Callithrix jacchus: one gene and its partners. The protein of the gene in region 1 purifies or fractionates together with the protein of each later gene. This does not show direct contact. Links are inferred from orthologs where the notes say so. Each region holds a gene or a part of one and is shown in the gene's direction. Other genes may lie near its edges.

Evidence for each region.
Region 2: the proteins of UBXN6 (region 1) and NPLOC4 purify together in Homo sapiens (affinity purification with western blotting; 3 studies listed by BioGRID and IntAct, with this or other methods). This does not show direct contact. The link is inferred for Callithrix jacchus from reciprocal best matches to the Homo sapiens genes UBXN6 and NPLOC4.
Region 3: the proteins of UBXN6 (region 1) and ASPSCR1 purify together in Homo sapiens (affinity purification with mass spectrometry; 4 studies listed by BioGRID and IntAct, counting the BioPlex papers as one, with this or other methods). This does not show direct contact. The link is inferred for Callithrix jacchus from reciprocal best matches to the Homo sapiens genes UBXN6 and ASPSCR1.

What each region holds. Positions count from the first base shown.
Region 1 is NC_133523.1:4,201,594-4,209,967, reverse strand, and holds the start of UBXN6 (UBX domain-containing protein 6), read left to right. Parts: upstream 1-4,251; 5' UTR 4,252-4,358; coding exon 4,359-4,441; intron 4,442-4,907; exon of another isoform or gene 4,908-5,255; coding exon of another isoform or gene 5,256-5,269; intron 5,270-7,771; coding exon 7,772-7,935; intron 7,936-8,290; coding exon 8,291-8,355; intron 8,356-8,374. UniProt on the Homo sapiens protein: May negatively regulate the ATPase activity of VCP, an ATP-driven segregase that associates with different cofactors to control a wide variety of cellular processes.
Region 2 is NC_133506.1:137,288,441-137,296,586, reverse strand, and holds the start of NPLOC4 (nuclear protein localization protein 4 homolog), read left to right. Parts: upstream 1-3,648; 5' UTR 3,649-3,825; coding exon 3,826-3,840; intron 3,841-7,674; coding exon 7,675-7,755; intron 7,756-8,146. UniProt on the Homo sapiens protein: The ternary complex containing UFD1, VCP and NPLOC4 binds ubiquitinated proteins and is necessary for the export of misfolded proteins from the ER to the cytoplasm, where they are degraded by the proteasome.
Region 3 is NC_133506.1:137,618,849-137,625,627, forward strand, and holds the end of ASPSCR1 (tether containing UBX domain for GLUT4), read left to right. Parts: intron 1-1,517; exon of another isoform or gene 1,518-2,628; coding exon 2,629-2,755; intron 2,756-3,093; coding exon 3,094-3,145; intron 3,146-3,408; coding exon 3,409-3,478; intron 3,479-3,549; coding exon 3,550-3,722; intron 3,723-3,956; coding exon 3,957-3,970; 3' UTR 3,971-4,045; downstream 4,046-6,779. Other genes in the region: CENPX (centromere protein X), read right to left, coding at 5,680-5,713, 5,789-5,877, 6,107-6,189, 6,343-6,400. UniProt on the Homo sapiens protein: Tethering protein that sequesters GLUT4-containing vesicles in the cytoplasm in the absence of insulin. Modulates the amount of GLUT4 that is available at the cell surface. Enhances VCP methylation catalyzed by VCPKMT.

The sequences.
Region 1 (8,374 bases):
GTGCACACTAACATGCCCAGCTAATTTTTGTATTTTTAGTAGAGACGGGGTTTCACCTTGTTGACCAGGATGGTCTCGATCTCTTGACCTCGTGATCCACCCGCCTGGGCCTCCCAAAGTGCTGGGATTATAGGCGTGAGCCACCGCCCCCGGCCTATTTATTTATTTTAAAGATGGGGGTTTCACCATGATGGCCAGGCTGGTCTTGAACTCCTGACCTCAGGTGATCCACCCACCTTGGCCTCCCAAAGTGCTAGGATTACAGGCGTGAGCCACCATGCCCGGCCAAGACTGCATCTTTATAAAAAAATTTTTTGGCTGGGCTCGGTGGCTCACGCCTGTAATCCCACCACTTTGGGAGGCCAAGGCAGGTAGATCAGGAGGTCAGAAGTTTGAGACCAGCCTGACCTACGTGGCAAAACCCCATGTTTACTAAAAATACAAAAATTCGCTGGGCGTGGTGGTGCGTGCCTGTAATTCCAGCTACTCAGGTGGCTGAGGTAGGAGAATCTATTGAACCCGAGAGGCAGAAGTTACAGTGAGCTGAGATGACACCACTGCACTACAGCCTGGGCAACAGAGTGAGACTCCATCTCAAAAGAAAGCACATTTTCTTTTGGCTGGGCTCCATGGCTCACGCCTGTAATCCCAGCACTTTGGGAGGTTGAGGGGGGCAGATCACTGAGGTTAAGAGTTCAAGACCAGCCTGGCCAACATGGTGAAACCTCGTCTCTAATAAAAATACAGAAAAAAAAAAATAGGTGGGCATGGTAGCACGTGCCTGTAATCCCAGCTACTCGGGGAGGCTAAGCCCGGAGAATCTCTTGAACCCAAGAGGCAGAGGTTGCAGTGAGCCAAGATCGTGCCACCACACTCCAGCCTGGGCAACAGAGGAAGACTCCATCTCAATATATATATGTATAATAATTTTTTTTTTTTGCCAGAGCACAGTGGCTTATACCTGTCATTCCAGCACTTTGGAAGGCCAAGGGAGGCAGATTACCTGAGGTCAGGAGTTCAAGACTAGCCTGTCCAACATGATGAGACCCCATCTCTACTAAAAATACAAAAAATTAGCCAGGCACGGTGGAGCAGGCCTGCGATCCCAGCTATTCAGGAGGCTGAGGCAGGAGAATTGCTTGAACCCAGGAAGCAGAGGTTGCAGTGAGCTGAGACAGCACCATTACACTCCAGCCTGGGTGAGAGAAGCAAAAACTCCATATCAGAAAAAATAATACATTTACAGTTCCAACACCTTTACACTGGTTGGGCAAGGTGGCTCATGCCTGTCATCCTGGGTTTTACCATATTGGCTTTGGGAGGCTGAGGTGGGAAGATCACTTGAGATCTATACCAGCCTGGGCAACCTAGTGAGACCCCATCGCTACAATTTTTTTTTTTTTGAGGCGGAGTCTCGCTCTGCTGCCAGGCTGGAGTACAGTGGCAGGATCTTGACTCACTGCAACCTCCCACTCCCCATTTCAAGCAATTCTTCTGCCTTGGCCTTCTGAGTAGCTGGGATTACAGGCGCCCGCCACCACGCCCAACTATGTTTTGTATTTTTAGTAGAGACAGGGTTTCATCATGTTGGCCAAATTGATCTTGGAACTCCTGATGTCAGATGATCCACCTATTTTAGCATCCCAAAGTGCTGAGATTACAGGCATGAGCCACCACACCTAGCCCTTTTCTTTTTTCTTCTTTTTTTAGAGATGGCAGTCTCACTGTGGCGTCAGGGCTGGTCCTGAAGTGCTGGACTCAAACAATCTTCTTGCATCAGCCTCCCAAAGAGCTGGGATTACTGCGTGAGGCACCACAGCCAGCCAAAAAAAAAAAAAAAAATACATCATTATTTTTTGAGACGGAATTTTGCTCTGTCACAAGGCTGGAGTGCAGTGGCTTGATCTCGGCTCACTGCAACCTCTGCCTTCTGGGCTCAAGCGATTCGCCTGCCTCAGCCTCCCGAGTAGCTGGGATTACAGGCACGTGCCACCACACCCAGCTCATTTTGTAATTTTAGTAGAGACGGGGTTTCACCATCTTGGGCAGGATGGTCTCGATCTCTTGACCTCGTGATCCGCACGCCTCGGCCTCCCAAAGTGCTGGGATTACGGGCATGAACCAACAAGCCAGGGCAAAAAGTGTATTTTTAAACATAACTACCTGCCAGGCATGGTGGCTCTCATCTGTAATCCCAGCACTTTGAGAGGTCAAGCTGGGCAGATCATGCAGGAGATTGAGACCATCCTGGCTAACACAGTGAAACTCCATCTCTACTAAAAATGCGAACATTTAACCGGTCATCGTGGCATGGTGCCTGTAGTCCCAGCTACTCAGGTGCCTGAGGCAGAAGACTTGCTTGAATCGGGGAGGCGGAGGTTACAGTGAGCCAAGACTGTGCCACCCCGCTCCAGCCTCGGTGACAGAGTGAGACACCATCTCGGAAAAAAAAAAAAATAACTACCATACCATTATCACCACTAAGAAAATTCAGAATAGCTCCTTTCTATCGTGTAATGCCCAGACATATTCACATTTCCCTGGTGGTCTCAAAAATATCCTCTTACTGTCCCTGATGACACCTTTCGTGTCGCAAACCGCTCTTTCTATAATGCCATGTGCCCTGACACAGATTTCCTTTACTGATTATATTATGTTTTCACCCAGACTCCCCCCAGAAACTGATGAGCATGAGCCCTATGAGGGGAAAGAAGTTTGCTTCCTCATTGTGGGTACAGAGCTGACTCTGAAGAAAGGAGAAAAGCATTTTGACATCTGCCTTTAACTGAAATACTGTGTGTGTGTGTGTGATGGAGTCTCGTTCTGTCACCAGGCTGGAGTGCAGTGCTGAGATCTCGGCTCACTACAGCTTCTACCTCCCGGGTTCAAGTGATTCTCCTGCCTCAGCCTCCTGAGCAGCTGGGATTACTGGCGCCCTTAGAGACAGGATTTCACCATGATGGCCAGTCTGGTCTTGACCTCCTGACCTCAAGTGATCTGCTGGACTTGGCCTCCCAAAATGCTAGGATTACAGGCGTAAGCCACTGCAACTGACCCCCAATTCCCTTTTTTTGAGGCTTAACTGTCACTTTATCTTTCTTTGCAGAATGCACAGCCCAAAGATGCCACTATTAACTGGTTTCTCTCTGTCTTGCCCGACAAAGTGGATCCCCAGGTCCCAGTCAAGTGCATTGTATTCAACAGCTCCTAGATAAGGTGCATGGGCTGGGGTGGGGCGGGGGGCGGTCAGGGACCAAAACAGGGCCAGATCGTGGGGGCCTCCAATGCCCCACATTGAATTGGGACTTTATCACGTAAGCTCTGAGCAGACAGGGAAGGTTAGTTTTGTGTTTGTTTTGTTTTGGGCAAAATCTCTCTCAGTGGCCCAAGCTGGAATGCAATGGCTTCATCACAGCTGACTACAGCCTGGACCTCCTGGGTTCAAGCAATCCTCCCGCCTCAGCCTTCCAAGTAGCTGAGACTATACAGGCACGGGCCACAACTCTCACCTAATTTATTTATTTATTATTTTTTTGACACCAAGTTTTGCTTTTGTTGCCCAGGCTGGAGTGCGATGGCTTGATCTCAGCTCACCACAGCCTCCAACTTCCGGGTTCAAGCGATTCTCCTCGCTTCATCCTCCCAAGTAGCTGGGATTACAGGCATGTGCCACCACGCCCGGCTAATTTTGTATTTTTGGTAGAGACGGGGTTTCTCCGTGTTGGTCAGGCTGGTCTCGAGCTCCCTACCTCAGGTGATCCACTCGCCTCGGCCTCCCAAAATGCTGGAATTACAGGCGTGAGCCATCGCGCCCGGCAACAATTAAAAAAAAAAAAAAATTTATGGAAAACATGGTTTTGCCATGTTGCCCAGGGTGGTCTCCAACTTCAGTCAAGCAATCCTCCCACCCGATTCCCCGAAAGTGCTGGGATTGCAGGCGTGAGCCACCGCGCCCAGCTTAGGTTGAGCAGCGAACAGGTCAGGGCCCAGTACTTTCTCTGCGAGGTTCAGTCGGCCTGTCCCTCTCCCATCAACGTTTGTCACCGTTTATGGAGCCCCACGGAAGGCGCCAGGCAAGGCACTGTAGCCAATCTAGAAGCGCGCTCGTCGCCCTGGCAACGTAGTCCGGCAGAACCACAGAGACGCGGCTCCGGCGTACAGAGCGTCCGCCCTGGGCCGCGAGGCACCGAGCCGTAGAGCGGCACGCCGGGCTGATTGTCACGTGGCTGGTGTCGGAGAGGCGGGACTTCCGGCGGCCCGGTATTTTTTTTCCGGTGGTTGGTCCTGGGCGGCCCCTCCCCGACTGGGCCCCGTGCCCCCCGCCCCTGCGGCCCCCAGCCGCCGGGCCAGCCGCCACCATGAAGAAATTCTTTCAGGAGTTCAAGGCCGACATCAAGTTCAAGAGCGCGGGACCCGGTCAGAAGCTCACGGACTCCGTGGGGTGCGTGAGGATCGCTGGGGCTTGAGGCCCTGAGGGGCGGGGACGGCCGGGGAGAGAGGTCTGGGGCCTCGAGGTGCGCGGGAGATCGGAGGGCGAGGGGCTGAAAGCGGCGGCGGCGAATGAGGGAAACGGGAGAGGTGCCGGGGGCGGGGCAAGTGGGGCCTAGGTGGGCGTCGTGGGCGTCAGGGGGAGGGGAGAGCGGAGAGCGGCCTGGGGGCGGGGCAGGAGGGCGTGTGGGAGGGACCCGGGGGCGGGTCGGGAAGAGGCGGGGGAAGGGGCCAGGAGGGTAGTTGTCAGTGGTCGGGCCTCGGAGGCTGTGGCGGGGGTCTAGGGCGACGGGGCTGCAGCAAGTTGGGAGTCAGTGGAGCGACCCTGGGGGAAAAAAGGGATGATGAGTCCGGAGGCGGGTGGTGAGGGAGAGGTCTGGGGACCCGGCTGGTTCTGAAGCGGCCCGGATGATTTGGGGGAATTTGGGTGACCAGGGATGGGAGCTGAGCGTGGAGGAGGACACACACTGTGGGGCATCCATGGGAAGAGGGGATGTGGGCTTGGGATCTGGAGCACGTGGGAGGTTGACGACAGACTAGGAAGTCTGGAAGGCCAGGGAAGTGGTGGTGGGCAGAGTCGTCAGTGACCTGGGAGGTCCCTGCGAATTGGGAGTGAAGGGCTGAGAACGGTGTGCGAGGAGACTGGAGGTGAAGGACTGACAGATGGTGGTGGGAGGGGAGGGAAAGGAGGTAGCTGCCAGGCCTACTTCTGGATTGTCTAGGGAAGACTTCGAGAGAAGGGCCTGGGCAGGGCTAAGCCAGCTGGGATGGCACATGGAAGGTAGGGGAAGAGGTGGAACCGGGGACAGTGTGAGGCTGAGGGCTGCTGGGTTGAGAATAGGGAACCTGGAGAGCTGGGGCCGCTGCAGGGAGCTGGCTGGCCAGGGAGTGGTGGGGACCGACGGAGAGTGAAGGGGAAGGAGGTCAGCCAGGCTGCCAGGGCAGGGGTCTATAAGCAATAATGGAAGGGATTGTGAAGAGGTGGGGCTGGGAAGGGGTAGGAGGAGATGCAGGGAGGTGGCAGGAAGTGCGGGTCAGGGAATCACGGGCAGTGGGGTGGTGATGGAGGGAGGGCCATAGTGAGGACGTTGGGGTTCCTGGGGGAGAGGCTGAGCAGGAAAGCAAAGGAGGGAGAGGGGTCAGGGACAGAGGGGTCAGGGAGAGAGGTGGGCAAATGGGGGGAGCCCTTCATTGATTCAACCAATAGTGGGTGAACGGGGTACTAGAGCCACTGGGACTGGGCGTGACAGGAAGGATCCAGGGTGTGAGGGCGATGGCTGGATCAGCCCAGAGCCCAGGCATAGGGGGGAAGATTGGAGCGGAGGGGCGGGCGGGAAGGGACGGGAAGGAAAGGAAAGGCGTGCAGAGGTCCCTTTTGGAGTGATACTCCAGGGTGTGTGGGGCGGGTGGGCACCAAGTCCTGTTTTGGGCTGCAGTGGCGGACAGGACAAGGCGGCTGCTTTCCCAGGGCTCACCACCTAGTGGGAGCCGATTGGTAAATAAACCAACAAGCCTGGGATGAGAGCTCAGGCAGTGCCCAGGGCCTCGAAATAGGGTGAGCAGGGACCGCCAGGTGGTCCGGGAAGACCTCTGCCAGGACAGCGAGACTTCAGCTGTGAGGAAATCAGCCCCCTCCTTCTCTCCCTGTGGTAGCCCTAGCCCTTTCCAGATCCCCTGACCTCCTCCCACCCCCCAGGAGAACATTCTGGGCAGAAGGCGCAGACAGTGCAGGGCCGTACAACGGGGAGCAGTTGGGGTGTGGGAAGAACGACAGGGAGCCCAGGAGAGATGGGGCCAGGCCAGGAAGGGCTCTCTGGGCCGAGGGAGGCCTTAGGATTTTGCAGTGGGAGGACATTATGCAGTGGAGTGACGCTGACGTTCCCTGAATGAGGTTCCAGAAGGGTCCCTGTGACTGCCCGGGGGAGCAGGGCCCACAGCCGGTTGGGGTGAGGCACCCTGGGAAATGCTGTTTTGTTGGAAAGACCTAGATATGGGATGGGGCCAGGGTGGGTCTTCATGAGTCATCTCTTCCACCCAATCTGCTCAGCTGCGGGAGGACGGGATAGGCAGGGGTGGGCACGAAGCAGGTTCCGGAAGCCTCCAGAGGAGGAGGGAGGGCTTCCCGGGAATCTGAGCAGAGCCAGAGGAGTATAGGGCTTGAACTGAGAGCCTGGTCTCCTGGAAGTTTTTACAGATCTATAGCATGGAAAGTGACAGCGCCTGAATTCACGGGAGGGGCCTGAGGAGATGGGCGAGACAGACGCATCCGAGCAGCTGGGAGAGAGGGCTGCTCTGCCAGGTCACTGTGCTCAGAGGATTACGGAATCCTCCTTGGCAGAGGGCTCCACAGGGCAGGGCCGTGATTACCTGAGCTCTTTGTACTTGCACAGCCCTGAGCCTGGCATGGAGTCACGTGGCCAGGGCAAGGCTGGTTCTGTTGTCAGCTGACCCCAGGGTCTTGACACAAGGGTGGCGTGGCATGGGGTACATCACCTGGACTTCTCAACAACCCTCTTGGGTTTGGGAACAGGGGATGGTGAGGTCTCCCTGACAGCTTGTTAGGAGGAGGAGTCAACCGACCCAGCCGCCTCCTGGGTTGATAGACTCAAGAGCTATCACATCCTCCCTCCCTCCCTGCCATAAAAGTCTGCACTCAGGGCCGGGCCCGGTGGCTCAAGCCTGTAATCCCAGCACTTTGGAAGGCTGAGGTGGGCGGATGACCTGAGGTCGGGAGTTTGAAACCAGCCTGACCAACGTGGAGAAACTCCATCTCTGTTAAAAATACAAAATTAGGCCGGGTACAGTGGCTCACGGCTGTAATCTGAGCACTTTGGGAAGCCGAGGTGGTGGATCACGAGGTCAGGAGTTCAAGACCAGGCTGGCCAATATGGTGAAACCCCGTCTTTACTAAAAATACAAAAATTAGCCAGGTGTGGTGGCAGGTGTCTGTATTCCCAGCTACTCGGAAGGCTGAAGCAGAGAATTGCTTGAAGCTAGGAGGCATAGGTTGCAGCGAGCCTAGATCACACCATTGCACTCCACCCTGGGCGACAGAGTGAGACTCTGTCTCAAAAACTAAATAAAGAAAAATAAATACAAAATTAGCCAGGCATGGTGGTGCATACCTATAATCCCAGCTACTCGGGAAGCTGAGGCAGGAGAATCCTGGGAGGCGGAGGTCACGCCATTGCACTCCAGCCTGGGCAACAAGATCGAAACTGTCTCAAAAGAGGAATAATCAGCCAGGATACAATACACTCAGTCTCCCTCGGTCTGTCCCCAGGGAAAAGGCCCTCAAAGAGAAACCCACCCAGCCAGCCCCCAGGCAGCCCCGCCAGGGACCCACCAATGAGGCACAGATGGCAGCCGCTGCCGCCCTGGCCCGGCTGGAGCAGAAGCAGTCCCGGCCCTGGGGCCCCACGTCACAGGACACCATCCGAAATCAGGGTGAGCTGTGGTCCTCCTCAGGCCCAGGTGGACACTGTTCGTGGGTCCCAGCCCTGGTGCAGAAGTCACATGAGCAACTGTGGGGTTGTGAGGGTCACCCTTGGAAGTGGCCCCCGAGAGCGGGGGAAGGGTGGCTTCCGGGGCAGGGGGAGCAGAGACTTGCAGCAGAAACCGGGGCTGCCCAGGCAGTGGGGTGCTGGCTCAGGCCGAGGGGTGGGTGCAGACCAAGCCCCACAGGGGCCCGGAACAGGTATGCTTGGCTCACAGGCCACCCCAGGAATGCGGGGGCTTGGGCCAGGGGAGAGGCCTGCACACCATCCCATCCCTGCCTCTCCCTCCTCGGCTTGCCTTCCAGTGAGAAAGGAACTTCAAGCCGAAGCCACCGTCAGCGGGAGCCCCGAGGCCCCAGGGACCAACATGGTAAGAACAGCCACTGGTG
Region 2 (8,146 bases), on another chromosome or scaffold:
CGCAGGTGCGACTTGGGCAGGGATGTTTGGGTGCAGCCTTGTGGCTGTCACTGCAGGGCCCCCGTGCGGACTTCAGCTCGGCAGGGTCAGCAGCCACTCCATCAGCTCCCAACCAGGGAGTCAGGCCCCTGCAAACAACTCCAAAACCAAGAGACCCATTGGCAGCCCCAGTGCCAATCTATCCCCCCGGGTTTGTTCACTGCAAGAATGAAACAGTGTTGGCTGGGCCACTGTACTCCAGTCTGGGTGACAGAGCAAGAATCTTTCTCAAAAAAGAAAAAAAAATTAGCCAAGTGAAGTGGCATGCACCTGTAATCCCAGCTACTCAGGAGCTATTGCAGTGAGCTGAGATCCTGCCACTGCACTCCAGCTTGGGCGACGGGAGTGAGACCCCAGTCTCAAAAAAAAAAAAAAGACAAACAAAAAAAAAAACCAAAAAACCGGAGAAACCACATCTATTGACAACTTGATCTGGGATTCTAGTTCTAGGACTGTTAGAAAGTAATTCCAAACCGGCCAGGTGCGGTAGCTCACGCCTGTAATCCCAGCACTTTGGGAGGCCGAGGCGGGCGGATCACAAGGTCAGGAGTTCGAGACTAGACTGACCAACATGGTGAAAACCTGTTCCTACTAAAAATACAAAAATTAGCTGGGCGTGGTGGCGCATGCCTGTAGTCCCAGCTACTCAGGAGGCTGAGGCAGGAGAATTGCCTAAATTTGGGAGTCGGAGGTTGCAGTGAGATCATGCCACTGCACTGCAGCCTGGGCAACAGAGTGAGACTTTGTCTCCAAAAAAAGGAGAAGAAAGTAATTCTAAACCACCAGTCTGTCATGGTAAAACCACCTTTGCAAAAATTATAACTGAGACAATTATTACAGTTAAAGGGATGGGACTTAGCTGACTCCATCTAGCTTCTAACCTCCAAGCTGTCCTTATTCATTTCTGGGTATAGGCTGAACTAACTTCGGGAGGCACTTAGTTTATAGTTTAGCTTTGAAGCAAAGGTGATAACAACCCTTTTTCAAAACAAACTCCCTTCCTACCTGGGGACAAGACTGCCTTTTCAGGATTAACAAATTAGCCACAACATTATAAATTATGGTTTAGGAGTTATGCGGCTGGAGGCTACAAGATTTTTTTTTTTTTTTTAAAGATGGGGTTTCATCATGATGGCCAGGCTGGTCTTGAACTCCTGACCTGAGGTGATCCACCCACCTTGGCCTCCCAAAGTGCTGGGATTACAGGTGTGAACCACTGCATCTGGAGAGGCTACAAGATTCTAAGTCTCCCAAATTGCTCCTCAGGATAACATCTCCATTGTAAAACAGATCAGCTCTGAAGATATTTTGTAGACCCTGCTCTCCATGGTTCAGCTGGCACCACCCAGATTGATAAACTGGCTCATCTGGTCTGTGGCCTCTGACCCAGGAACTGACTCAGCCCAAGAGGACAATTTTGACTCCCTGTCATTTCATCTCTGACCCAACCAATCAACACTCCCTACTTTCTGACCCCATACCCACCAAATTATCCTTTAAAACTCTGTTCCCTGGCCAGGCCTGGTGGCTCACACCTGTAATCCCAACACTTTGAAAGGCCAAAGCGGGTAGATTGCCTGAGGTTGGGAGTTGGAAACTAGCCTGTCCAACATGGAGAAACCCTGTCTCTAGTAAAAATACAAAATTATCTGGGCGTGGTGGCTGTCGCCTGTAATATCAGCTACTTGGGAGGCTGGGGCAGGAGAATCGCTTGAACTCGGGAGGCAGAGGTTTTGGTGAGCTGAGAAAACACCATTGCACTCCAGCCTGGGCAACAAGAGCGAAACTGTCTCAAAGAAAAAAGAAAAAAAAAAAACCCTCCAATCCTCGAATTTTCGAGGATACTGATTTTTTGAGTAGTAATAAAACCCCAGTCCCTGGTAACCCGAACAGCTGGCTCTAGGTGAATGAAACTCTTTCTCTATTGCAATTGGCCTGTCTTGATAAAGTCTAGGCAGTGGGCAGGGACCACCCATTGGGCAGTTACAATGGCAGTCTGAGCAAACTAATAGAATTACTAACATAATTTAATCAATCAATATAATTTAACATAGTTAAAAAGAACTCTCAAATTGTGATGTTGTGAAATATGTATATATTTGGTCTTCCAGTTTCCTGGCATGCAGCTCCTAAAATCCTTAGATCTGTGAAGTGGTGTCTTTTTTCTGTTTTTTTTTTTTTGAGATGAAGTCTCACTCTGTTGCCTGGGCTAGAGTGCAGTGGCATGATCTTGGCTCACCGCAGCCTTGACCTCCTGATCTCAGGTGATTCTCTTACCTCACTACCTCAGCTTCCTGAGTAGCTGGGATTATAGGAATGAGCCACTTCACCAAGCTAATTTTTTTTTTCCTTTTTGAGATGGAGACAGTCTTGCTCTGTCACCCAGGCTGGAGAAGGGTGACCCCATCTCCGCTCACGGTGACCTCTGCTTCACAACTTCAAGTGATTCTCCGGCCTCAGACTCCTGAGAATCTGGGAATATAGGCATGCAAGACCACATCCGGGTAATTTTTTTTTTTTTTTTTTTTTTGAGGCGGGGTTTCACTCTTGTTTCCCAGGATGGAGTGCAATGGCGCGATCTCGGTTCACTGCAACCTCCGCCTCCTGGGTTCAGGCAATTCTCCTGCCTCAGCCTCCTGAGTAGCTGGGATTACAGGCAAGAGCCACCATGCCCAGCTAATTTTTTGTATCTTTAGTAGAGACGGGGTTTCACCATGTTGACCTGGATGGTCTCGATCTCTTGACCTCGTGATCCACCCGCCTCGGCCTCCCAAAGTGCTGGGATTACAGGCTTGAGCCACCGCGCCCGGCCTCAATTTTTGTATTTTTATTAGAGATAGGTTTCACCATGTTGGCCAAGCTGGTCTCGAATTCCTGACCTCAGATGATCCACCTGCCTCCGCCTCCCAAAGTGCTGAGATTACAGGCGTGAGCCACCGTGCCTGGCCTAATTTTGTTTCACCATGTTGGCCTGCTGGGTCTTGAACTTCTGGCCCCAGGAAATCTGTCCACTTCAGCTTCCCAAAGTGTTGGGATTACAGCCGTAAGCCACCGCGCCCGGTCTGAAATGTAGTTTTTTTATTCATTTGTTTTTCTCATGTTAAAATTTTTTTATTTTTTCTTTTTTTGTTAATCAATGAGAGCTTCTTATGTTGCTCAGGTTGGCCTTGAACTCATAGCCTCGCCTCCTCAAGCGCCAGGACAACTGGCCAGAGCCACCGCAGCTCCCGTCTCATGTTAAATTTAAAAAAAGACTTAAAAAAAATAACAAAGGTGTGGTCCTCTCCCTGAAATTGTTTCTCTCCTTAGCTGTGCATGGAGGGAAGTTTGGAATGCTATTTCCCCAATTATAATTCGCTGTAATACGCAGCAGTAGCTATTTTTGGGTGAGATTTCGGATGCTTGTCTTTGCCTCCTTTTTGGGCTTTTCTGTACAGCTTGCGTTTCCGAGGACGAGCATTTGTTGTCATCGACGGGGCATTTTTCCAAAATTCGCCTCCTCGCGGTGCCGGGAGGGGAGGCGGGTCCACGGCACCACCCTGCGCATGCGTCCAGTCGTTGCTGGGACCGGAACCTGGTTTCCCGGCCGCGCGCCTAGGGGAGAGTCTTGAGCGAGGCACCAGGACGTCGGCGGCTGGCGGAGCCGGGCGGGCGAAGCTGGAGCGGCGGTTGCGGCGGCGTAGGGAGGCCGGGGCCGGGTCTGAGGCCGCGGCCGGGTCTGCGAGGCCCTTGGGGCAGCAGGCGGCGGCGGCCCGGGACTCGAGCCCGGAGGCAGGAGTGGCCACCATGGCCGAGAGCATCGTGAGTGCGGCAGCCGGGCGGGAGCGGGGACGCCGGGATGAGGCAGCAGATTTGCCGGCCGCGGCCTGCTGGGGAGGCGGGCCTGCCGGCCCCGCGACCGGGTTCCTTTCCCCTTTCTCACCCGGGCTTTCTCAGCAGAGGCTGGGCCCCCCTCGGCGACTTTCACCCCCTCGGCTGCTTCCCGTCCTTGTCCCTTCCCGGCGGACTCGCGACCCCGGTTCCCCGCCCTGGGCAGGGAAAGGCCGAGGCTTTCTGCAGGGAGAATTGACTGTGCCGAAGAGAAACCGCCCTCCTTCCTCACCCGGTTCCCGGCTCCAGGAGACTTCCTGGTCCAGTTCCAGGGACTCCCAGCTAGTCCTGCCCCTCTCAGAGCCAGGGCCACTTCTTACCCCAATCTCCCTCCGATTCTCTTCTACCGCTCTCCCCCTTCCCAGCAAGTGCCTTGTCATGAATCACTGAGGAGAGCAACTGCAGACGGGGACGTTACAGAGCTCCCTCCCCGCCGGTGGAGCTGGGAAAATGAAAACGCAGTAACTTCCCGGCTTTGCTCCTTCTAGGAAGGAAAACTTGACAACTCCTCTTTAAAAGGAATGTCATAAATGAGGTTGATTTAACTTTTTACCTGAAACTGAGAATTGTCAGCCGAGCGCAGTGGCTCACGCCTGTAATCCCAGCACTTTGGGAGGTCGAGGCGGGTGGATCACGTGAGGTCAGGAGTTCGAGACCAGCCTGGCCAACGTGACGAAACTCCGTCTCTACTAAAAGTACAAAAAATTAGCCGGTCGTGGTGCCTGGCGCCTGTAATCCCAGCTCCTTGGGAGGCTGAGGCAGGAGAATCGCTTGAACCTGGGAAGTGGAGGTTGCAGTGAGCCGAGATCGTGCCATTGCACTCCAGCCTGGGCAACAGAGTGAGACTGCATCTCCAAAAAAAGGAAAAACGAATTGTCATCCCTACCAAGGTAAAAAATGTCAGTGAAAAATCAGGGAAAACCAGCCCCTCGTTAACTTGTGAGAAGCTGTTCCCCAAAAGTAAATGTGATGGGGAAAAATTAACTGACTCTTGGACAGAATTTTGGTTAATTTTTTTTTTTTTTTGAGACAGTTTTGCTTTTGTTGACCAGGCTGGAGTGCAGTGGCCCTGTCTCGGCTCACTGCAAACTCCACCTCCCGGGTTCAAGGGATTCTCCTGCCTCAGCCTTCTGAGTAGCCGGGATTACAGGTGCCTGCCACAACGCCCGGCTAATTTTTTTGTATTTATAGTAGAGACTGGGTTTTGCCATGTTGGTCAGGCTTGTCTTGGACTTCTGACCTCTGGTGATCTGCCTCTCTCAGCCTCCCAAAGTGCTGGAACTTACAGGCATGAGCCACTGAGCCCAGCCGAATTTTGATTAGTATTAAGAAAGGTTTGGGATTTCTGGGGGAAGCTGAGCAGTACTGGGTGAGGAGTAATGTTCATGCTGTAGTATTGTGACAGTCTCTGCAGTTTTACCAGGTGTCAAGAATCGGTCTTCAGGCCAGGCGTGATGGCTCACGCCTGTAATTCCAACACTTTGGGAGGCTGAGGTGGGTGGATCACAAGGTCAGGAGTTCGAGACCAGCCTGACTAACATGGTGAAACCCCGTCTCTACTAAGAATACAAAAAATTAGCTGGGTGTTGTGGTGCATTCCTGTAATCCTAGCCTCTTGGGAGGCTGAGGCAGGAGAATTGCTTGAACCTGGCAGGTGGAGGTTGCAGTGAACCGAGATTGCACCATTGCACTCCAGCCTGGGCCACTAAAGTGAACTCCGTCTCCAAAAAAAAAAAAGAAAAAAATGAGCTAAAGACAGATGATAATGCAAGAAATAGAAGCTCTGCAGTGCACTACCAGTCATTGCTGAGAGGAGAAGCTAGGACACCAGCACTTGCAGCATGCTCCTATCAGCCTCCTTCCCGTCTGCAGGTGGTTGGAGCAGGTCTTTGTTTGTTGCAGAGCATGCCATTTCATCCTCCCTATGTGAACAGGGACCTGTACTGTTGGCTAGGCATTATAGCTCACCTTCACAATGGCTTTCATCAGCATAAAAACGAAGTCGTCTTAGGAAGTAATGCTCTTTGTCCCATAGTATTCCAGATCTGCCCCCTTTTTAGGCTTACCATGGGAAAAAAAAATACTTAAAAAAAAAAAATATATATATATATATATATATATAAATAAAATACATACATATTAAATTAGGATGGAGTCAAGCGTGCTGTGTTGGCCAGGCTGATCTTGAATTCTGGGGCTAAAGGGATCCTTCTGCCTTGGCTTCCTGAAGTGCTGGGATTACAGGCATGAGCCACTGTGCCCAACCGAAAATATTTTTTTAAAACCCTGCTAAATTTTACCATTAATGACCATTGTTGTTTTTAACTTTAATCTCTCTCTCTTTTTTTTTTTTTTTTTGAGGCAGGGTCTTACTATGTCACCCATGCTGGAGTACAGTGGAACCATCTTAGCTCACTGTAAACTTGACCTCCCTGGTTCAAGTAATTCTCATGTCTCAATTCCCCAAGTAGCTGAGACCACAGGCGTGTGCCACCATGCCTGGCTAACTTCTGTATTTTTAGTAGAGATGAAGTTTCCTTATGTTACCCAGGCTGGTCTTGAACTTCTCAGCTCAAGTGATCCATCACCTTGTCCTCCCAAAGTATTACAATTACAGATGTGAGCCACTGTGCCTGACCATATTAAAATCTTTTTTACAGAAAGTAAATAACAGCTAGGTGTGGTTGCTCATGCCTGAAATTCCAGCACAGTGGCAGAGTCACCTGAGCCTAGGAGCTTGAGACCAGCCTGGGCAGTATACTGGTGATACTCCATCACTACAAAAAAAAAAAAAGAAAAAATTAACCTGAACTGGTGGTGCAGGCCTGTGGTCCCAGGGACTTAGGAGGCTGAGTTCAGAGGATCACTTGAACCTTGGAGGTCAAGGCTGCAGTAAGCTGTGATTTTGCTACTGTATTTCAGCCTGGGTGACAGCAAGACCCTGTCTCAAAAAAGTAAAAAAAAAAATAAGTAACAATTAGAAAATTTCCTATGATTCTTTTAATTGTAGGACTCTTAAAGACTGTCTAAAGTTTGTGTATAGATCCTGGAACAAAGAACATCTTTTATAAAGAACACGGTTCCTTCATGGTTCATGGTGGGTTTTTTTTTTTTTTCCAAGTTAAGCCTGGAGATAGTTTTTAAGTTTGAAGAGTCAAAAAGCATTTCACATATACTCTATAAATAGTGGTTAGGAAATAAAGTTGTTTTCCAAGTGAAACTAAGGGTTGAGAGGACAGTACTCTTTTTTTTTTTTGAGACGGAGTTTCACTCTTGTTACCCAGGCTGGAGTGCAATGGCGCGATCTCAGCTCACCGCAACCTCCGCCTCCAGGGTTCAGGCGATTCTCCTGCCTCAGCCTCCTGAGTAGCTGGGATGACAGGCATGCGCCACCACGCCCAGCTAATTTTTTGTATTTTTAGTAGAGACGGGGTTTCACCATGTTGACCAGGATGGTCTCGATCTCTTGACCTCGTGATCCACCTGCCTCGGCCTCCTAAAGTGCTGGGATTACAGGCTTGAGCCACCACGCCCGGCCATGGCTTCATCTTCTAGAAAGATTGAGCTGAGTATTGAAAAGTGAAGAGTGACGTTTCGCCCTTTTTTTTTTTTTTTTTTAAATCCAGATCACAGGAGAAGGATTTAAATGAGGTTTGGCTTTAAATTTTAGTGACTCAGATGCTAAAAGACCACAGCTGTAAGCCTTAGCAGTAGAGCAGGACCTCACTAGGCTGTGCAGTAACCATCATATTTTATTTACAACAGATAATTCGTGTCCAGTCCCCAGATGGAGTGAAGCGGATCACAGCAACAAAGAGAGAAACAGCAGCAACATTTTTGAAAAAGGTATCCATGGCTTGGGTATTTACCCTCAGGATCTTTCTCATCCTCTACTGTTACTCCCACCAATACCTTTTCTTTTTTCCCCATTTTTTTATTTTCCCTAGTCCCAAATAGCCCCTTGCATTGCTTTTCTCTATCTTGGTTGGGTTGGATTGCTATAGGATGAGATGTTTGTCACAGCTGATCACTGCTCAGAATTATAGGACCGAGAGCCCAAAGGTATATGTAAAAGTGTTTCACAAGAGTGGTCGGGTGCAGTGACTCACACCTGTAATGCCAGCATTTTGGGAGGCTGAGGTGGGAGTTTGAGACTAGGGTGTCCAACATGGTGAAACCTTGTCTCTACTAAAAATACAAAAATTACCTGGGCATGGTGGTGGGTGCCTGTAATCCC
Region 3 (6,779 bases), on another chromosome or scaffold:
TCGGAGGGAGGGGGTGCAGGCCTGTGGGCGCCCAACCCCCGATGTCCTGGGAAGTCTTCCCTCTACTCATGGTGTGATTTGAGTGTCAGCACCACCCGTCTTGTGTGTTGCTGCACTGCTGCCTGCTGCCCTTCTGAGGCCTCAGTTGTCCCCAAGGCCAGGGCAGGGCATCTAGAAGCACCTGGCCAGTTGTCGTCCCGTCACTTTGCTGTGCTCGTCTAGGCTGGGGTCTGGAGTCTGGGCCAGAACTGAGCAGAGAGTAGAGATTTCTTCCCCGTGGCCATGGTGGTCTGTCCCTCTGTCCCTCATTCCACTGGGATCCCAGAGACACAGCCAGCAGGCAGGGGACTTCTGGTGGGCAGCCAGTGGGGCAGGGAGGCCTGGTTCCAGAGGAGCTCCCCCAGGGGTCCTTTCCCAAGGCCTCAACCCGGCAGCTCCAGCCTGGGCCCTGGCACGTCCTGTCTCCTTGTCCAGAGCAAAACGAGACAAGGGGTGGGGGCCCACAGGCACGAGCTTGCCCTGGGGACTGAGCCCTGCCCAGAGACCTTCCTGTGCATGTCCACCTGGCCTGGATCAGATGAGACTCACCTCCAGTGCCAATGCCGGCCATGATGGGCTGAGTGGACCTGGCGGTGAGTTCCTTGGTCAGGACCTCCTTCCAGACTTGGCCATCCCCCTCCCGAGGGGGGTCTGGCTGTGGCCACCCTGTGTCTGGAGCAGGGGAAGCAACTCTGGGTTGCAGGAAGCCTGGGGCCAGCCCTTCTTTGTGGTCCTGGGGATAGAGAGGCTGGACCTTTCTCTCTGAGGTGGGAGTGGGGAGGGGAGCCACAGGGGACCTGTGGGTGTGAGAGGAGATTCTCAGACTTCCTTCACGGGTGATTCCCGCTGCCTTCTCCGCCCCATCTGTGGTCCCCATTCCACTGTCCTCACCCCACTGGGACCCTCCTGGGGACTGGATGTACTGGGGAACCCTGAGTCCACTGGGGTGGCTGTGACGAAGGCCCACTATCCCGGAGGCCTGGGGTCCAAGCTCAGGGGATGGCTAGGCTGGCCCCTGTCAGGCTTCTGTTGTGGCTGGCAGAAGTTACCTCTGTCATCGCATGGTCACCTCTGTGAGCATTTTGTGTCCTCATCTCATGAGAATTCACACTGGAACAGACCCACCTTGGATGTCATCCACTCTGGGTGGCTGCCCTGTCTCTCCCTGCCTGGGTACCGTGGTGCCACCCCATGCCTGGGTATCTTGGGCCATAAGGCTTTTCTCTTGGCTGCTTTTCCCCGGAGGGTGGTGCCATTCTTGCCCGTGGGGACGACCGGGGCACCGGGCCACGTGCATGCTGCTCCTGCAGAGTCGCTGCCCACGAGGGTTGGCCTGGACCTCCTTTCAGAAGCTCTTCCTGGCAACACTGAGTGTGGCAAGGGGCTGGCAGCAGAGGGGGCAGGATTTGGGGCCCCAGTGTGCTGGGCAGCAGCTAGGGAGGGGCTGGCTCCAGGGTGGCTGTGCTGGCTCCTCTCAGGCTTCCGTTGTGGCTGGCAGACTGGCGTCCTTGCGGTGTCACTTCTGTGTGTGGTCTGTGTCCTCATTTCTTGAGGAATCACACTGGACTAGACCTGCCTTTGATGTCATCTCACATCACTTATCTTTTCAAAGATAAGTGAGATATCTTCAAAGATAAGTGCATGGTCCCAGGCCCTCAGGTTGTGTCAGGGCAGGGTGGGCGTTCCTCTTTTCCCTGTCAGCCCAGGGAGCCAGGACAGTGCTGGTAGGGACAGGCCCCTCAGCCTGCGCCTCCCTCAGGCCCTTTCTGGGCCCTGCTCTGAGTGGTGGGTGGGGGGCGGGGGTGTCCATTGTGACTCACATTTCGTGTCTAGACCCAGCTCCATCCACCCTGGTCCCTTGCTGAAGTGGCCCCTGGAAACCAGGGCAGAGAGCACCGTTTCTCACAGTGCAAGATGGAGGTGATATGAGACTTTGGGAGGCTCCTTTTTTGGGGTCCATCCAGAGGCCAAGCCTCTCCCAGCACTGCAGCGTCCATGCCACCCAGTCTGCTGACCCTCCTCGCCACTGACTGCCAAGACTACTTCCCTCCTCGTGATCCTGAGCCCCAGCTGCCCCTTTCTGTACATCCTGTGGGGCAGTGCTGGGAGGGTCATGGCCTGTGGGGGCAGTGATGAAAACCAGGTGCCTCAGTATCAGTGGCTTCTGAGGGATTCTTCTTGCCTGGCGGCAGGTGGGACACAGATGGGGCTGGCTAGGCCTCTGGTGCCCACAGCAGCCTCCAGGCAGTGTCCCTGGGCTTCTGTGGGCGGCTGCAGCCTGGGTGTGAATCCCAGAGGCCCTATGGCGCTCTTATCTGTGAGGCTGAGACCACAGTGGCTCCTGGCGCTGTCCTCCTGGTGCCCTCTTCCTGGCTCCCCAGCTTCCGATGCCTTTCCAGGGCCACTGGGGCAGCCCCTGCCCACCCCGCAGGCCCTGTTCTCCTCACAAGGCTTTGATCCCAGGCGGCACAATTGGGTTTTCAAAGCATTCACGGCCCTTGTTTGTGTCCCCGGCTGGAGGCTGAGGTTTCAGCGTTCCTGGGCCTGGCCTTTGAAGCTTCCTCTTATTAATCTTTTAACATCCCTCAGCCCCACCCCAGACTGTGGCCCCGAGCAGCCTGGAGCCGGGAGGGGGATGCCTTCAGCCTGGCAGCTGCAGCACTCCACAGTGGTCCCGAGGCATCCGTCAGGCCCTGCCCCACCCCGCCTTCCTGAGGTGCAGAGTCCAGAGCAAGGAGGACTGTGACACTGCATGACTCAGGGACCCTCAGGGCCCTAGCCTGCAGCTGGCTTGGGGCTTGGGGTGGTCCCATGGAGGGCGCTGGTGGTCCTAGGATGCCCTGGGCTTGCTTACAGTGGTAGGGTTGGTGCCAGAGTCGGGACAGGAAGCTGGGCAATGAGGGGCTCATGGGACTGGGCAGGTGGAAACTGCCTGAGGGTGGAGCTGTGGCCATCAGCAGGGCCTGGGCTTGGAGGTGTGGCTGCCTCCGCAGCAGAAGGGGTGCTCTGCCCACGGTGCCCGCCCGGCTCCTGAGTCTCCTGCCCTCCCTGCAGGCGAACCTCTTCCCGGCTGCTCTGGTGCACTTTGGAGCCAAGGAACCAGCAGGTGAGTGTCAGTGGTTGGGGCATCAGAGCCTGGCCAGCCCGTCCGGGACCTCAAAGCTAGCTGCCCCAGAGGGCATTCAGTCTGGGGCCTCATTTGGATCTGGGAGGGAGGTCTGAGGCTTCCAATACCCACCTCTCAGAGGGAGGGCTGGGACAGCCACCTGCTGGCCACCCTGCTCCCAGAGCTGAGTGCTGGTGGCTGGTTGCTGGGCAGATAAGGGTGGGCCTCTCCGAGGCTGAGGGTGGGCTTGGGCCTCCCTGCAGGTGTCTACCTGGAGCCTGGCCTGCTGGAGCGCACCATCTCCCCATCCGCGGCCGACGTGCTGGTGGCCAGGTAAGTGCCAGTGGGTTTGGGGGCTCCTCCCTCAGCGACACCCACCACCCTGTGTCTTTGCCTCCCCCCAGGTACATGTCCAGAGCCACCAGGTCCCCTTCCCCATTGCCAGCCCCTAACCCTGCACCTGAGTCTGAGCCACCTGCTGAGGAGGGGGCGCTGGGCCCCACTGAGCCCATCTCAGAGATGGTTCCGCCTGTGAAGAGGAGCCTGGGCAAGGTGCCCAAGTGGCTGAAGCTGCCAGGTACTGTGGCCGGGTGGAGGGCAGGGGGCTTCGACCAGGTGGAGGACGTGTGGGGGCACAGGGTGCTGTGGTCTGCGGGGATGGGGGGGCCGCATGCTGAATTTGGTTGGGGGGCAGGGGGGCTGGGTGCTGCAGTGGGGGTTGGAGAGCTAGTGCTTCGGCCAGGCCAGTGAGCGGGTGGCTGGGCAGCGAGAGCCCAGGGCCTGTGGTCACCCTGGTGTGTTTGCACTACAGCCAACAAGAGGTGAGCTGCCAGCCTGAGGTGCCCACCAGCCACAGGACCACCTCCCCTGCCAGCAGGAATAAAGACTGTGCGTCCTTCAGTGCTTCCTGTCGTACTTTCTCCAGCAGGGGCCCCTGTCCACCCTGGCTTGGCCTGACTGGAGTGTCCAGGCCCAAGGGTCCTGGTGGACCATGGTGTGGGCCTCGGTGGCCACTCGCCGGGCCGAGGTGTGCATCCTGAACCCGAGTGGGTCTCCTAACAGTATTTACTCCTCCTCCCAGAGAAACAGAAGTGCTGGAAGAAGGGCTTTTTGGGCAGATTGCCTACAACCCAAGAACCAAGCCTGGGCCAGGAGCTGGGGGAGTTAGTAGGCCACCCCATCTTTAGGGCAGGGCCTGGCCTTGCAAGCCTAACAATTTCCACAGGCTTCCCAGGGCTTTCAGACAGACCTACTTGGGTGGGCAGGGTGGGGAAGGGGTGGATCCCAGCAGCAGCTCTGCCTGGCCAGGGCCAGTGGGGCTAAATCAAGGATGGAAAGGCTTACCCCAAAGTTGTCTTAGAGCACCAGGGGAGGAGAGGCTGGGCCGCCTCCAGTGATCCCCAAGGGGCAGCTCTTGTCTTTCCCACCCTGGAATCTGACTCCCTGTGTTCTAACCTTCCCTGCATGGGGCCCCAGGATGGCACTCAACTGAAAGCCCCTTGGGTGTTCACAGTCCTGGGCTCTAACTAGGGAGCTAAAGTGAGGTGGGCTAAGGCACCTGGCAGGGCACTGGAGGGGAAGTGGCCCAAGGCCCTGCTGCTTCCCAGGTGTTGGCACAGGTGGAGCTCATGCCAGACTTCTGACAATCAGAGGGCAGCTAGACCTGGACAGGGCATCCAGGCAGGTCCCACAGCCCTGTGTCTCCAAACATGGGCAGGAGGCATGGCCTGAGGGGGCTGTCCCATACCCCCCGGCACTGCGTGGGGCTGGTGTTGAAGAGAAGGGGAGGCCCTTCCTCCATTTCAGCAGGGCCTTGGGCCAAGGTCCCTCTCACCCTGTGCATCCTGGTCCTGCCTGCAGCCACAAGAATATTCATGGAAGCCACTGCCCACTGGTGGCAGGCCCTGGGGCTGCCCCAGCCTCTGGGGCTGGAGTAACATTTTCCAGGTAGGCGGCCACATATACAAGGTATGGGCTCCACAGCCCCATGCACACATGCTGTCAGCCAGCCTGTCCTGGTGCTTTGCTTTTGTCTTACCAGGGGTGGAAGGGTGCACACAGGGAGCGTGGCTTTGAAGCAGTCTGACTTCAGTGATTAATAGCAACAAGAAGGCCAAGCTGGGAGAGACAGTTTTGATTTATTGATGTTGCTTTGTCAGAACAAATTTATAGCCTGGGGAGCCATTTTCTGAGGGGAATAGCGGATGCCTGGGAAGGTCACATCAGCTTTGATGTTGGTAGCAGGAATGTGGCCAGGAGGCGGCGCTGCCAGCTGCTCTTTGTAAAACATGCAGTCTACCTGTTGGCTGGGCCTTTCCCAGCACCTGCCTGTAGGTGCCCCCATGGGCCTGTCTCCAGTGGGCACTCCAAGGGTGGCAATGCACTACAGTCCTGCCCCTTCTGCAAAGGTTGGAGAATCTCGGGATCTTGTTTGAATCAGCTCCAAACCCCTCAGGTCCTTCTCTGTCTGCAACCAGAAGCCACTAGAAACACAAGACCTGCTTCTGTGGACCAGGGACTTCCCTGGGGTGGCTTCAGCCACGGCTGAGGTCCCTAGAAGTCCAGGAGCTGTGGGGAAGAAGCGCTTAGGTGCGGCCTGCCAGCCAGGCACTCCCACCTGTGCACCGACCCGCATTCACGCACCAACTGCGGAAGCACCTTCTCCAGCTGGTCCACATCCACAAGAATGGCATCTTCTGCCTGGGCCTGCCGTACCGCACGGACGGCTGCTTCTGCAGTGAGAAACTCGAGAAGTGGGGGATGCTGGGAGATCTTAAACCCAGGCCCACTGGGCCTCAGCCTGAGCCAGTGCCCCCACCCACATCCACAGGCAACCCCCAGAACCAGGCTGTAGCACCTGACCAACAGGCCCAGGAGACCAAGTTCAGGCCCTTGTGGGAAACAGAAAAACGTGTCTTGGTTTTCCCGCTAGAAAAACAAAAGGAATCCTGGACACTGCACCTGGGAGGGGGCCTGGGCCCTGGGCTCACCCACAACGAAGATCTTCAGCAGCTCCGCCATGAGCTGCAGTGAGTCCCCGCTAACTGAAAGGCAGGGGGAAGACGTTATGTGGGACCCTTGCCCACTGCCCTGGCTGGGTGCTCCAGATGCAACCCACCCGCCCCAAGGCCTTGGCCCTGCAGAGTTGTGGGAAAGGTACAGGAGGACGGGAACCCCCGCTCCCACCTGCACCCCACCTGCACCTTTGGTCTTGTCATCCTTAAAGTGCGCGTGCAGCAGCCTGCTCACCAGCTCCTGGAGGGGAGGGGGATGTCAGTGCCAGGCCCTGCCCTCCCCCACACCCCCAGGGTGGTGATCATTCTGGGTGGCACCGGCTGTGATTTCCAGCTGGAGATGCCCTCTGTGCGTGGGCCTCTCCCAGGGCAAGGAACAAGGGCCGGCCCAGTGCTTAGGGTGGCAGAAGCTGGAAGAGCAGGGTCTGTCAGGGAGCTGCCCTGCAGAGCGAGTGGATGCAGACTGGTCGCAGGCCCAGCCTGCTGGAGCTCCAGGGGTAGCAAGGAGAGGCCTTGTCGAGTCTGGCATAATCTTGCACTCCCGTCCCCAGCCAAGGGCCATGGATCTGCTTTCCTTTTGAGGAGGCAGGGAAGGCAGAGCCGGCCTGGGTCTGGAGGCA